Oryctolagus cuniculus: one gene and its partners. The protein of the gene in region 1 interacts with the protein of each later gene in a pairwise test. Links are inferred from orthologs where the notes say so. Each region holds a gene or a part of one and is shown on either strand. Other genes may lie near its edges.

Evidence for each region. The genes of interacting proteins can lie anywhere in the genome.
Region 2: the proteins of TRIM39 (region 1) and PSMD9 interact in binary tests that used the Homo sapiens proteins (3 or more experiments, as listed by UniProt). The two-hybrid records come from large-scale screens. The link is inferred for Oryctolagus cuniculus from reciprocal best matches to the Homo sapiens genes TRIM39 and PSMD9.
Region 3: the proteins of TRIM39 (region 1) and UBE2D4 interact in binary tests that used the Homo sapiens proteins (3 or more experiments, as listed by UniProt). The link is inferred for Oryctolagus cuniculus from reciprocal best matches to the Homo sapiens genes TRIM39 and UBE2D4.

What each region holds. Positions count from the first base shown.
Region 1 is NC_091436.1:139,953,192-139,956,649, forward strand, and holds part of TRIM39 (E3 ubiquitin-protein ligase TRIM39), read right to left. Parts: coding exon 3,252-3,458; intron 2,082-3,251; coding exon 2,059-2,081; intron 1,511-2,058; coding exon 1,395-1,510; intron 723-1,394; coding exon of another isoform or gene 697-722; coding exon 149-696; 3' UTR 1-148.
Region 2 is NC_091452.1:7,178,999-7,184,204, forward strand, and holds the start of PSMD9 (26S proteasome non-ATPase regulatory subunit 9), read right to left. Parts: upstream 3,599-5,206; 5' UTR 3,497-3,598; coding exon 3,359-3,496; intron 1-3,358. UniProt on the Homo sapiens protein: Acts as a chaperone during the assembly of the 26S proteasome, specifically of the base subcomplex of the PA700/19S regulatory complex (RC).
Region 3 is NC_091447.1:51,529,351-51,534,722, reverse strand, and holds the start of UBE2D4 (ubiquitin-conjugating enzyme E2 D4), read right to left. Parts: upstream 3,599-5,372; 5' UTR 3,466-3,598; coding exon 3,442-3,465; intron 3,226-3,441; exon of another isoform or gene 2,829-3,225; coding exon of another isoform or gene 2,808-2,828; intron 1-2,807. UniProt on the Homo sapiens protein: Accepts ubiquitin from the E1 complex and catalyzes its covalent attachment to other proteins. In vitro able to promote polyubiquitination using all 7 ubiquitin Lys residues, but may prefer 'Lys-11' and 'Lys-48'-linked polyubiquitination.

The DNA of each region.
Region 1 (3,458 bases):
ACACAAAGCATCTTAGAAACCACGGTGTTTCTCTGAGATGATTCACAACTGGAACCAGGCAGACACCAAGACGTTCCCGCAGGCCACAGGAAGGAAGGCCCGTATTCTTGACCCTGCCTCACCCCGATTCCTCCCGCGTCCCAACCTGTCACTCCCAATCTGTTGGAGGCCTGATGGTAAGTGGTGCAGCATTCTTCCGACCGGCCCGTATGCCTGGGTAGAACAGGGGCCAAAGTTTCTCTGTGAAGGTATCGGTGAAGGTGTAGATGTGAGAACGGTCTGTGACGTTATAAAAAGACAGCGTGCCAGCCTCATAGTCTAGGAATATGCCCACCCGTTTGGGTTTCACTTTGATATGCAACGGGGTGAAAGGTGTGGTGGTGGCTGCATATTTGTCCCCATTCCACAGCCGTACCCGCCAGTAGCCAGTCTCAGGGAGTGGAGTCAGCTCGCCCTTTCGGCTCACAGAGTCCCGGCACACACCCACTGCCCAGTGGGTCTTGTCGCCCACCTCCACCTCCCAGTAGTGTCGACCTGAGGTGAAACCTTCAGTAGCCAGGACACAAGGGTAGAAGGTGAAACGCCGTGGTGTGTCGGGGAGATCCCGGAGTCTTGTCTCCACGAACTTGACGCTCTTACGGTCTTCTGATAGGACTAGGTTAGGATGAGCAGTCTCGGGGTCCAGGGTCACATCCGCTGGCGGGAGAAGCCAGAGTGGGGAGCTAGATGAGGATGGGAATAGCTAAATGTCCCTGCCTCACTTTTCCAGCCTGCCTCTACAGAGCCTGGTCCCTTAAAAGTTACCTCTCTAACCCAGGGCGTCTCCTGAGGGAGAGGAGAATGAAGGCTACCCTTCTCATCCCGACCCTGCAGGGACCACTCTAAGGTTCCCACTCTCCCTGTCATCCTCCGACATCATCATCTATTGCTCTGTACAGAGAGGTGCAAGGCATGGTCTGAGGGCCAGGAAGGAAAGTGTTATGTTAAGAAAGATACAGAGCAAGACAGCACTATGGTCTACGAATAGGGTGAGGTGTATGTGTTTTCCCAGAGCTGTCCTGGTTAATGACCACTTTCCTTGCATGAATATTAAGGACACATCCTTTCACTATTCAGCTCATCCTAGCTTTAGACGGCCACCCTATCTAACAACCTGGGCAAACTATTTAACCTTTCCAAGTCTCTATTTAGAAAAGTGTGGATCTCAGAGTAGGTGATACCTAAGGCTTCTTCTCATTTTGAGTTCTGTGACTCAGGGTGACATTCAAAGTTGGGTGAAGATGGGTGTGTGAATGAAGAGAGACGGGATAACTGAAGCCCACATAAAGTAGGGTCTGAAGACTTTGTTCTCTCTGGCAATTCCCTCTGCTAATTTCCTTTTGGGAACAACTCACCAATTAGCTGTTTAAGGATTTTCCTTAGGGCAAAATACTGTCGGGGAAAATTGCTGAAGTTCTTTTCCAGCTCTATAGATACTGAAGTCACTTCCATGGTCTTCACCTTCTCACATCTAGGAGGGGATGGGGAGATTAAGGGCAAGGTTAGGGGAAGCTGAAGCCAGGCGGCTATCAGATGTTGTCATCTTTAGGGAGAAACTAAAACTCCATCTTCCCACTTTCCCCTCCTCCCTGAAGACAACTGCTTCCTTTCGCCAATCCACAGAGAGCCACTGGTTCCCGGGACAGATTCTTATGTTGACAAGGTCAGTGGTGGGTGGGTGGGGGGAAGGGGTGTGTCTTATATTTCATGCCCATGGGTAAGCCCATTGGCTCCACCAACCCGTTCCTCCTGCCATCTTGCTTGGACGTAATTTACCAATAGACGCAAGGAGAACCTGTTTCTATGTTATCATTCTTCTTACTGAGGAAGTCCTGATGCTCAAAGGGGAAAAGGGATTATTAGTCCTGATGATCTGTTCCCTAACTGGTTTCTTGGACCTTCTCCCATATCCTACCCAGCCTGTATGACTTTCCCCTCATTATTCCCCCACCTCCTTACTGAACTCCCAGCATCTAAGACAAGCCCTAACTCACTCAAAGAGATTTAAGAATCACTTACTTTTCCAGGGTACTTTTGACATCCTAGAGGGAAGGAGAAAAGAAAGCAATATTGGTCCTGGTATTCAAGGGTCCTGAAGGCAAAAGGTTTCCCCTCCTCCCCAAAGCTCTAGATCTCTAAAAAGGCACAGAGAAAACTGAGGGTCCCAGTGCAGGGCGAAGAGTTCCAGGGGCATCCGAGCTTCTCTCCCAACTGGATCCCCATTTTCAACTTTTGGTCATTGTGGAGCTTGATAATTTGAATCACTTCCAAATGGTTTCTTGGTGTTTGTCTTTGCTCCTCAGGCTCACTGGGAGCTCCCTGCAAGGGACAGGGATTGTGTCTGCTCTTCACTCTGTGCCCCAAGTACCAACCACACACTGTGTCTCCCTGAGGATCTCAGGACAGAGAATTCTGACTGGCAGCACAAAACAAACCACTCTTTCCTGTTGTGGTTTGGTATTCCCTAGCCAGCACTGGTTAATGAACATTAACAACTGCGTGCCAATCCTAATTTGAGAATACTTGGGGTCCAGAAGACAAAGAAGACAAATCTCTGCCCCTTAAGGATTTTCCAGTTTAATGTGGAAAGCAGAACACACAGACATGAAGAACACGGGAATAATAAATACCGAGCAATACACAACATGCATATAAATGTACAATGAAGCCTCAATGATTCAAATGCTGGTAATCTGATATCTAAGATAAAAAGTATGTCCCCTACAGCCTGGCTAATATGATTTATCTGTTTAAGAGAATAACACTACTTCAAACATTTTAGAGGCATCATTGGTATATCAAAAGCAAGGTATTCTTTACAAGTATCCTTTAAGCTATGTTTCTGTTCTTCAGCACTAGGTGATTCAAAATCCAGGACTTAAAAGTAACTGGTTTCACAAAATTTCTAATGCATAGTTTTTTTTTTTTTTTTTTAACTTATTCAGACTATGACTTTTGTCCTTTCAAAAAGTGATTTTTTTCCCCCTTGGGTACAAATTAAGTACATAATTGTTGACAGGACATAAGACCATGATTAGAAAGGATGGGAGAGATCAGAGGACTTTCTGTAGGAAGAGATCCTTGTATGTCTGGAAGGAAAGACTGGATCTAGGGAAGCAGAGTGGAAGAGCGAGCCTCCCAGGCTGACATACTGGCTGTGCGAAGCTATACTGTGCACGACCTGAGGGGCTATGCAGGGGCAACGGTCGAACCTTAAGCATCTCGAAGCCCGACTGTAAGCACTTGCCCTCCACCTCTGCAGCCAGGTGGGCGAGGTCCCGGCGCTTGTCCCCAAGGTGAGCAGCATTTTCTCGTAGTCGCTGGAGAATGTCCTGTTCCTCCTCCTCCAGTCGTGCAAACAGCATCTGCTGCTCCTCATCCAGCCGCCTGTGCAGCTCTTCAAACTCCCGCAGGATCTG
Region 2 (5,206 bases), on another chromosome or scaffold:
AGTGAACCAACGGAAGGAAAACCTTTCTCTCTGTCTCTCTCTCACTGTCTATAACTCTCTCTCTGTCTCTCTCTCTCTAACTCTGCCTGTCAAAAAAATTATATATAATATATATTATATAATATTTATATATAATATATATAAAATTTTATATATATATATACACACACACTAGGGCTGGCGCTGTGGCATAGTGGGTAAAGCAGCCACCTGCAGTGCAGACATCCCATATGGGTGCAGGTTCGAGTCCTGGCTGCTCCACTTCTGATCCAGCTCTCTGCTATGGCCTGGGAAAGCAGTGGAAGATGGCCCAAGTCCTTGGACCCTGCACCCTCGTGGGAGACCTGGATGAAGTTCCTGGCTTCAGATCAGCCCAGCTCTGGCTGTTGTGGCCATCTAGGAAGTAAACCAGCAGATGGAAGATTTTTCTCTCTCTCTCTACCTCTGCCTCTTTGTAAATCTGTCTTTCAAATAAATAAATAAATCATATATATATATATATATATATATATATCTCTTCCCAAAAAGGACCCACACAACTGGTGGCTCACACACAAGGCAGTAAATAACCTTCTGTCTAAAATACTTATTCTGGCCCCACCCCAGCCTTGTAGCATAGCAGGTAAAGCTGCTGCCTGCGATGCCAGCATCTCATACAGGCACTGGTTCATGTTCCAGCTGCTCCATTTCCAATCCAGCTCCCTGCAAATGGTCTGAGAAAAGCAATAGAAGACAGCCCAAATGCCTGGGCCCCTGTTATCCACATGGGAGACCTGGAAGAGCTCCTGGCTTCTGGCTTCGGCCCTGGCCATTGCAGCCATTTGGGGAGTGGACCAATGGATGGAAGCTCACTCGCTCTCTGCATCTCTCTCTTTCTCTAAATCTGACTTTCAAATAAATAAGTAAATCTTTTAAAAATAAAGAAAATATTTATTCCTGGGGCCAGCATTGGGTTAAGCCACCATGTGCAACACTGACATCCCATATGAGCACCAGTTCAAACCCCAGCTGTTCCACCTCTGATCCAGTACCCAAGTACTTGTGCCCGTGCCACCCATGGGGGAGACCTGGATGGAGTTCCAGCCCCAGCTGTTGTAGTCATTTGGAGAGTGAACCAGTGGATGGAAGGTCTCTCTCTCTCTCTCTGAAATTCTGCCTTTCAAATAAATAATAAATCCTTTTACAATTAAAATATTGATTCTCTTTCCAGTTCTCTTCAATATTCAGTCTTTACAATCCCAGATTACTTGCTGTCTCTGAGTTGTTCCAATTTTGAAAGTTTTTTCTTTTTTAAGATACATTTATTTTAAAGTCAGAGTTACAGTGAGAGGAGAGAGAGAGGAGAAAGATCTTCCATCTTTCTCCTGGGCCCTGATGGCCCCAATGATCAGTGGTGGGCCAGACTGAAGTGAGGAGCTTCTTCCGGGTCTCCCACGTGGGTGCAGGGCCCAAGCACGTAGGCCATCCTCCACTGCTTTCCCAGGCCACAGCAGCGAGCTGGATCGGAAGTGGAGCAGCCGGGACTGGAACTGGAGCTCTGACATGGCATGCTGGTGTCACAAGTGGTGGCTTAACCCACTGGGCCACAGCACAGATTCCCCGTTTTTGAAAGTTTCATTGAGATATTGTTCACTTATCATAAATTGCTCCATTGAGCAGTGAACAATTCAGGCCGGCGCCGCGGCTCACTAGGCTAATCCTCCACCTTGCGGCGCTGGCACACCGGGTTCTAGTCCCAGTCGGGGCGCCGGATTCTGTCCCGGTTGCCCCTCTTCCAGGCCAGCTCTCTGCTGTGGCCGGGAGTGCAGTGGAGGATGGCCCAAGTGCTTGGGCCCTGCACCCCATGGGAGACCAGGAGAAGCACCTGGCTCCTGCCATCGGATCAGCGCGGTGCGCCGGCCGCGGCGGCCATTGGAGGGTGAACCAACGGCAAAAGGAAGACCTTTCTCTCTGTCTCTCTCTCTCACTGTCCACTCTGCCTGTCCAAAACAAAACAAAACAAAACACTAGGCTAAAGTGAACAATTCAGTGGTTTTCAGAATATTCACAGACCCGTCCAACCCTCACCCTCAATTTTAGTACATCTTCATCACCCCCAAAAAGAAGCCTCATCAGCAATCACTCTCACTCCCTCCCCCCAGACCCCAGCAACTACTTTCTGTTCCTATGGATCTGCCCATCCGGGACATCTCACAGGGATCTGCCCATCCTGGACATCTCACACGGGTCTGCCCATCCCGGGCATCTCACAGGGATCTGCCCATCCCGGGCATCTCACAAGGATCTGCCCATCCTGGACATGTCACACGGGTCTGCCCATCCTGGACATCTCACACGGGTCAGCCCACCGTGGACATGTCACACGGGTCTGCCCACCGTGGACATGTCACAGGGATCTGCCCATCCTGGACATCTCACACGGGTCAGCCCACAGTGGACATGTCACACGGGTCTGCCCACCGTGGACATGTCACAGGGATCTGACCACCGTGGACATATCACACGGGTCTGCCCATCTGGGACATCTCACAGGGATCTGCCCACCGTGGACATCTCACACGGGTCTGTCCATCCCGGGCATCTCACACGGGTCTGCCCATCCTGGACATGTCACAGGGATCTGCCCACCGTGGACATGTCACAGGGATCTGCCCATCCTGGACATGTCACAAGGATCTGACCACCGTGGACATGTCACAGGGATCTGCCCATCCTGGACATGTCACACAGGTCTGACCACCGTGGACATCTCACAAGGATCTGCCCACCGTGGACATGTCACACGGGTCTGCCCATCATGGACATGTCACACAGGTCTGACCACTGTGGACATCTCACAGGGATCTGCCCATCCTGGACATGTCACACGGGTCTGCCCATCATGGACATGTCACACGGGTCTGCCCATCATGGACATGTCACAGGGATCTGCCCACCGTGGACATGTCACACGGGTCTGCCCACCGTGGACATGTCACAGGGATCTGTCCATCCAGGGCATCTCACACGGAGCCTGCAGTAGGAGCACCGCCTGAGGCCCCGCCCCCGGCACGCCCCGCACTCTAGCCACGCCCCCAGGCGTCCCGCATGCGCACTGGCGTTCCAGCGGCTCCCACGTCCACCAGGACCCCAGGCGGCGGTGATCGCCATCGGCTTCCTGGTCTCCAACGCGGGGAGCTCGGCGGCACCGAGCTGCCGGGCCAGCCCCGGGAGAGACGCCCGCGCCGCGCCCCTCGCAGGGGGCGGTCAGCCCGCGCCGCCGCCCAGGGAGGCCGTGGGAGAACCAGCCACGGCCGAGCGTCCCGGCAAGCCCTCGGGGCGCTCCCACGCCGCCCGGCAGCCCCGAGCCCTCACTCACGCCCTCCAGCACGTCGTAATTCGCCTTGATCTGCGCCTCAATCTCCTCCTTGCGCCGCATCAGCTCCTGGATGTCGCTGATAGTGTCGGCGCGGGCCTGCGAGGCGCCTCCGCTCGGCATCGCTTCCTTATCCGACATCGCGGCCCCCCACCCCGGGACCCTGGGCAGAGAGTGGCTACGGCTCCGCCCGCGGGCCAAAACACCTCAGCCGTCCGCGAGCGCGGGGCGACGCGAGGGGCGGGGTCGTTGGAAGCCACGCCCCCGCACGCACAAGCGCTACGGGGTGATGTCACCCTGGGTGACTTATTTTCATTACTCATTTGCTTAACAAATATTTATCGGGCACCTACCAAACGCATGTCCCAGATAAAGGGGCCACGGTGCTTGGATTCGGTTCCTCGCTTCTGCAAAAGCCTTGAAATGTACATAAATTCATATTTTTTTTAATCTCCTGTTTTACAAACTCTACAGTCCTGGGTTCGAATTCCAGTTTGTGCCCCTTACTGCAGCCCTCCCCTGGTTGTTTCAGCCATTTGGAGAGTGAACCAATGGATGGAAGATCTCTCCAACTCCACATGTAAAATATAAATTAAAAAAACTTTAAAAATAAAATTGGGGCCAGCTCTGTGGCATAGCAAGTAAAAATGCCGCATCCCATATGGGCACTGGTTCGAGTCCTGGCTGTTCCACTTCTGATCCAGCACTCTGCTTTGGCCTGGGAAAGCAGTAGGAAATGGCCCAAGTCCTTGGGTCCAAGCACATATGTGGGAGACCTGGAGGAAGCTCCTGGCTCCGGGCTTTGGACCGGCCCAGCTCCGACCATTGCAGCCATTTGGGGAGTGAACCAGTGGATGAAAAACCTCTTTCTCTCTCTGCCTCTGCTTCTCTGTAACTCTGCCTTTCAAATAATGAGTCTTTTTGAAAAGTATATAAAAACTATGGATAAATATACACAAAAAAATAGAGAATGGTGGTAGATTAACACCTCAAAGTTTTTTAAAAATAAAATAATAAAAATTAAGTTAAAAAGTTGCAAAATTGGAGCCAACATAGCAGTATAGCCAATGAAGCCACACCTGTGATGCTGGCATCCCAGTTCCAGTCCCAGCTGCTCCATTTCCCATCCAGCTCCCCGCAAATGCACATAGGAAAGCAGCAGAAGACAGTCCATGCTTGGGCCTCTGCCACCCACATGGAAGACCCAGATGAAGCTCCTGGGTTGTAGCGTTGGCCTGGCCCAGCCCTGGCTATTGTGGCCATCTGGGCAGTGAACCAAAGGAGGGAAGATTCATTCTCTCTCTCTCTCTCTCTCTCCCTCCCTCCCTCCCTTCTCTCTCTAACTCTGATTTTCAAATAAATAAATATTTTTAAAAGGCTTCAAAAATCACATAAACTTACAGCTAAATAAACTGTACAAAACAAAGATAGCAAATGCTCAAATCTCATTCCTTCTGCATGATTTTACTCCATTTTATCTTTTTTATAGGGTTATTTATTTGAAGGAGTTACAGAGAGAAAGGGAGAGACAGTGTTCCCAGTGCGTTCAAGGTTATTTCTGACTGCTCCACCTGTGTGATGTTACCACACTTGTCCTTTCCAGCGCCAAGGTCAGTGGCCGAACACTGGTAGCTTGAAATTGGCCTCAGGGAATATTTACACCAGAGAATTCTACAAACGCCAAGGCTTTTGCAAAAAACCAAGGCTTGATTTATTGTTTTATTGTTTTATTGATTGTCCAGGGCACAGGTGAGCAAACCATGGCCCTTGACCCAAACGTGGACCAATAGCTGCCTTTTCCTCACCACCTGGTTTTTGGTGGTTTTTTTTTTTTTTTTTTTTTAAAGATTG
Region 3 (5,372 bases), on another chromosome or scaffold:
CAGGCCACAGCAGGGAGCTGGATCGGGAGTAGAAGAGCCAGGACATGAACTGGCGCCCATGTGGGAGGCCGCAGCACCAGCCCCAAGGCTCTGTATCTCAATCCCCCACCCCTCCCAACACTGGTGTCTGAAAGTCCCAGGGTCCTGAACGAGGAGACCACAGGCACAGGAGCCCAAGGCTAACCTGCTTCCCACCACGCCCGGAGGGGCCAGAAACTGCACCATAGCCAGACCCCCCTTATGGGACATCAACACTGGCTCACCTCCCTCTGTGCTCACCTCCCCCCTGTGCTCACCTCCCTCTGCGCTCACCTCCCTCTGCGCTCACCTCCCCTCTGCGCTCACCTCCCTCTGCGCTCACCTCCCCCCTGCGCTCACCTCCCCCCTGTGCTCACCTCCCTCTGCGCTCACCTCCCCCCTGCGCTCACCTCCCCCCTGTGCTCACCTCCCTCTGCGCTCAGCTCCCCTCTGCCCTCACCTCCCTCTGCGCTCACCTCCCTCTGCGCTCACCTCCCCCCTGCGCTCACCTCCCTCTGTGCTCACCTCCCGCTGTGCTCACCTCCCTCTGCGCTCACCTCCCCTCTGCCCTCACCTCCCACTGTGCTCACCTCCCCCCTGCCCTCACCTCCCGCTGTGCTCACTTCCCGCTGTGCTCACCTCCCTCTGTGCTCACCTCCCTCTGTGCTCACCTCCCCCTGCCCTCGCCTCCCGCTGTGCTCACCTCCCTCTGTGCTCACCTCCCCCCTGCGCTCACCTCCCCCTGCCCTCACCTCCCGCTGTGCTCACCTCCCCTCTGCCCTCACCTCCTGCTGTGCTCACCTCCCCCCTGCCCTCACCTCCCGCTGTGCTCACTTCCCGCTGTGCTCACCTCCCTCTGTGCTCACCTCCCTCTGTGCTCACCTCCCCCTGCCCTCGCCTCCCGCTGTGCTCACCTCCCCCCTGCGCTCACCTCCCCCTGCCCTCACCTCCTGCTGTGCTCACCTCCCCTCTGCCCTCACCTCCTGCTGTGCTCACCTCCCCCCTGCCCTCGCCTCCCTCTGCGCTCACCTCCCTCTGTGCTCACCTCCCTCTGCGCTCACCTCCCTCTGCGCTCACCTCCCGCTGTGCTCACCTCCCCCCTGCGCCCCCCCCCCCAGTGCTCCCTGCCGGGAGCCGCACAGTGGCTCTCAGGCTCTCAAGCGGAGTTTGCATGGAAGAGGAAGCTTCCTCGCATGCCAGCCTTCCCGGTCCAGCACACTGCGGGTCCCACGGAGGGCGGCATGTGGGACAGCGTTCCTGTGGCAGGGACACCTCAGGGGAGGGCAATCCCCGCGTCCAGGGCACACCTGGCCCGTGGTGTTTCTCCTTCCACGGGACCAGCTCTGCCTCGTCCACAAAGACCCTGCAGGGGCCAACGCTGTGGTGTAGTGGGTAAAGTCACCGCCTGCAGTGCCGGCATCCCATATGGGCACCAGTTCCAGTCCCGGCTGCTCCACTTCCAATCCAGCTCTCTGTTATGGCCTGGGAAAGCAGTAGAAGATGGCCCAAGTCCTTGGGCCCCTGCACCCTGTGGGAGACCCGGAGGAAGCTCCTGGCTCCTGGCTCCTGATCAGCACAGCTCCGGCTGTTGTGGCCAGTTGGGGAGTGAACCAGCGGATGGAAGACCTCTCTCTCTGCCTCTCCTGTCTCTTTGTAACTCTTTCAAATAAATAAATAAATCTTTAAAAACCCACTCTGCTGATCCCCTGGATGTGTCTGGTCCACTCATCACGCCACTAGCCCTCACCTCTCTGGCCACCTGCTGTTGCCCTCACTTCCCTGCAAATGTGTTTGGCCATGACGAGGGTATTAAAGCCAGAGCCAGCTAACAGGACAGGTCGGCGTGTTTTGCCCCCAAGGGCTGCCTCCCCCACCCCTCCAGCCCCTCACTGGCTGCTCTCAGTGGGCACAGCCCCCCTGAACCCCTGTCCTCACTGGACCTGGACGTGCAGGGGAGCCTGGGAACCACTGAGGCCCAGAAGGGGGGCAGAGGGCGCCTCCGAAACATGGGGCCACGGTGTCCCGATGAACCGCTCTGCCCCACTCACCTCCCCGCTCTGCACCCACAGCACTCTGCCATCACGCCGCTCCCCTCCGTGCTGCCCTCACCTCCCCCTGCGCTCACCTCCCTCTGCGCTCACCTCCCCCCTGCACTCACCTCCCCCCCCCCGTGCTCACCTCCCCCTGTGCTCACCTCCCCCTGCCCTCACCTCCCTCTGCGCTCACCTCCCTCTGCCCTCACCTCCCCCTGAGCTCACCTCCCTCTGCCCTCACCTCCCCCTGAGCTCACCTCCCCCCTGTGCTCACCTCCCCCTGAGCTCACCTCCCCCAGCACTCACCTCCCTCTGCGCTCACCTCCCCCTGCGCTCACCTCCCCGCTGCACTCACCTCCGTGCAGCTCTCACCTCCCTCTGCACTCACCTCCCTCTGCACTCACCTCCCTCTGTGCTCACCTCCCTCTGTGCTCACCTCCCCGCTGTTCTCATCTCTCACCTCCACCATCGAGCCTCAGGGACTGGCACAGCCATGTCCATGTGTGAAGGCACTCCCGGGACAGCTGAGCGGCGACTGAACAGGTGGGGCCAAGAAAGGCCAGTTCAGGCCAAAGCCCCTGCAGCTCAGAGCTGTCCACACCCCGGGCTTTTCCGCAGGCTCCCCTGACAGGCCGGCTCAGAGGCCCAGCTCCATCCCCAGGAAAACCTTGTACAACGCCCTGTGAGGCTGCACCCTCTGGCACTACAAACCTTAACACATAGCGCGTTCGCAAAGCACCCAGGCCGACAGCTTACCCGGGCTGCCCCCACGGGCATCACACAAGGACCGGAGCCCTGGGCGGGAGTCGTACAGACGGGAGTGCATGCAGGCCAGGAAGGCCTAAACAGGACCGCAGCCTGGCCAAGTCCCGCCCACCAACCCCGCGTCCTGCCACTCCGACCAATGACCCGCCGTGAACTCCTGGGCAGTTAACGCGCAAGGTGATGGCCACCCCTGCTATCAAACAGCGACACGGACGCCACGCGAACAAGGCGGGCACCAAATACGATCGTTGACAAGCCTGGAGGCAGGTGCGCTAACAGCTCACTAGCGCGGCCGAACTGCAAAGACCGTCGTTGTCTTCCGCCCGCACTCCTCACACTCTAGGACGAGCACCCAGCTACCGCGGAGCTGCACCTGCCGCCGCCCCGCAAGGCGTCTGCGGCAGGCCCCGCCCCCGGGACACGGCCCCTCCCACCGCGCCGGTGGCCCCGCCCCCGGGACGCGGGTCCGCCCACCGCGCCGGCGGCCAAGCCCACGGCCCCCGCCCACCGCGCCGGCGGCGGTTCCTGGCTCGCGGGCCGGCCGCCAGTCACTCGGCGGCGACGCCCCGCCTTCGTCTCCACACCTGGACGCCCAGGGCGGAGCGTGGGTGGGCGGCTCCCTTACCTTCTGGATCCGCTTCAGCGCCATCCTCCCGCGTCTGGGGCCCGGCGGCCCGGCGGGGCGGCCAGAGGCGGCCCGCTGCGGGCTCGGCCGCGCGCTGCACGCTGGGAGCCGCCGCCTGCGCGTGCGCGCCGCGAGGCACTGTGGGGCGGACGCCGGCGCCGCGTGTCCCGGCGGCCGAGGGCCCCAGCGGGCGTTCGCCCGCGCGCCCTGCCCTGTGGCTTGGGCCAGGGCCCGTAGGGGGCCGGACACGGTGACGCCCGCCGCGTGTTGCCCTGTGCGCCGCGGGCGCCTCCGCGGGCTGCAGGTTCCCGCTCTGTGCGCGCCCCCGCCGGGACGTCGTAGTCCGGCGCGCTGCACCTGCTGTCACGTCGTAGTCCGGCGCGCTGCACCTGCTGCCACGCACGCACGCACGGACGCGGCCTCGTGCGGTGGAGCGGCAGAGCGGGCGGTGGTGATACGCCGCCAGGGCTGGGAACCGCAGCCGCAAGCCACGCGTGGCCCCCGCTTAATTCCGCCTCAGCCCCTCTTCCCAAGACCCACGTGGTGTGTGGGTCGGGGTTTCCCAATTTGGGGCGTAGAATCCGTCTCCTGGGTCGCAGGCAGGAAATGGAGTAAGAGCGAACCTGACACGCGAAGGCGAGAGCCGCCGCAGCTCCCCGCGGAGGGGGCGCCAGGGGAGTCAGGCTGGACCGCAGGGGTCGCCTGGGCTTGTCCCGCGGGCATCCCCGCGTGTGCGCGCGGTCGGCACGCACCGTGGATCGCAGACGCTATCCTTTCCCGGCCGGGTCCGGCTTCCCTTTCGCTCCCGGAGTCTCCTCCGCACTTCATGAACTCCCTCTCCGCGAAGCTGCCGCGCCGCCTCCAGCCCCAAACCCACTCAGCGCCACGAGAGGCCGCGGCCGCGCGTGTGCGCTGAGCTCCAGCCCGGCTGGCCGTCCAGTGCTTCCACCCGTATCGCTTTATCTGGGATGCCCTAAAAGCACCTTCCAAAATGAGCTCAAGCGCTCTGGGGCTCAGGTTAAGCGCCGCACCTCGGTGTCCCAGCGTGTGCCTGGCTCTCCTACCTAGAGAGCGGAAGATCTTACATTTTTGTGTTATAATCCGCGAATTCTCTACAGAGAAGTCGCATCATGGGACTAAGCCAGGAAAACAAACAAACAAACAAACCACTAGACTTGTCCAGAGTAGAACATGAAAAATTGTATTTCTACTCCTTGTGGGTGGTTTAGTGCATAGTTTTCTAAACTCTATTAGGCATACATGTGATATTTAATTTTGTTACTTTCAAATAATTTTCCATGTACAAAAATACTGCAAAAATGCACAAAAAGTCTAAAAGTGGATCAATTTGACCTCATTAAAACGTGAAACTTTGGCACTTCAGACAGCACCATCAAGAAAGCAAAAAGCAAAAAAGATAAGCCCGAGAATGGGAGGAGAATTTGACAATTAGGTTTCTAACAAGGGTGTAGGATCCAGACTAAAAACAACAGGCACAACTTTTTTTTTTTTTTTTTTTTTGTTACAAAGGCGTTTAGTTTATTCTCGTATCACGGATACTCTAGCGGTTCACATTTCTCGACGCCGCTCCTCCTCCTTTACAGTAGTTCATGTGCAATCTCACTCCCAGGCCCGGGGAGGGGGCGGGGCGGGCCTTGGCACTCCACGCTGGGCCAGGGGTGGGGGCGGCGGGCCCCTCAGGGAAAGGGGCTTGGGGGTGGCGGAGTGGGGGTGAGCGGAGGTGGGAGAGGGCCCTACAGTCTTTTTAATTTTTTTTAATGTCCGTGGATGATTCTCCCCCGTTTGCATTCCTTCCTGGCTGCCCAGGGTAGGGGACCATGCAGCGCAGGGCAGGGCTAGGGGGGAAAGCAGCTGGCCGCCCGGGGGGAGAGGGGGGCGCTGGGGGGGCTCCTGGGCTAAGGCAAACCCTG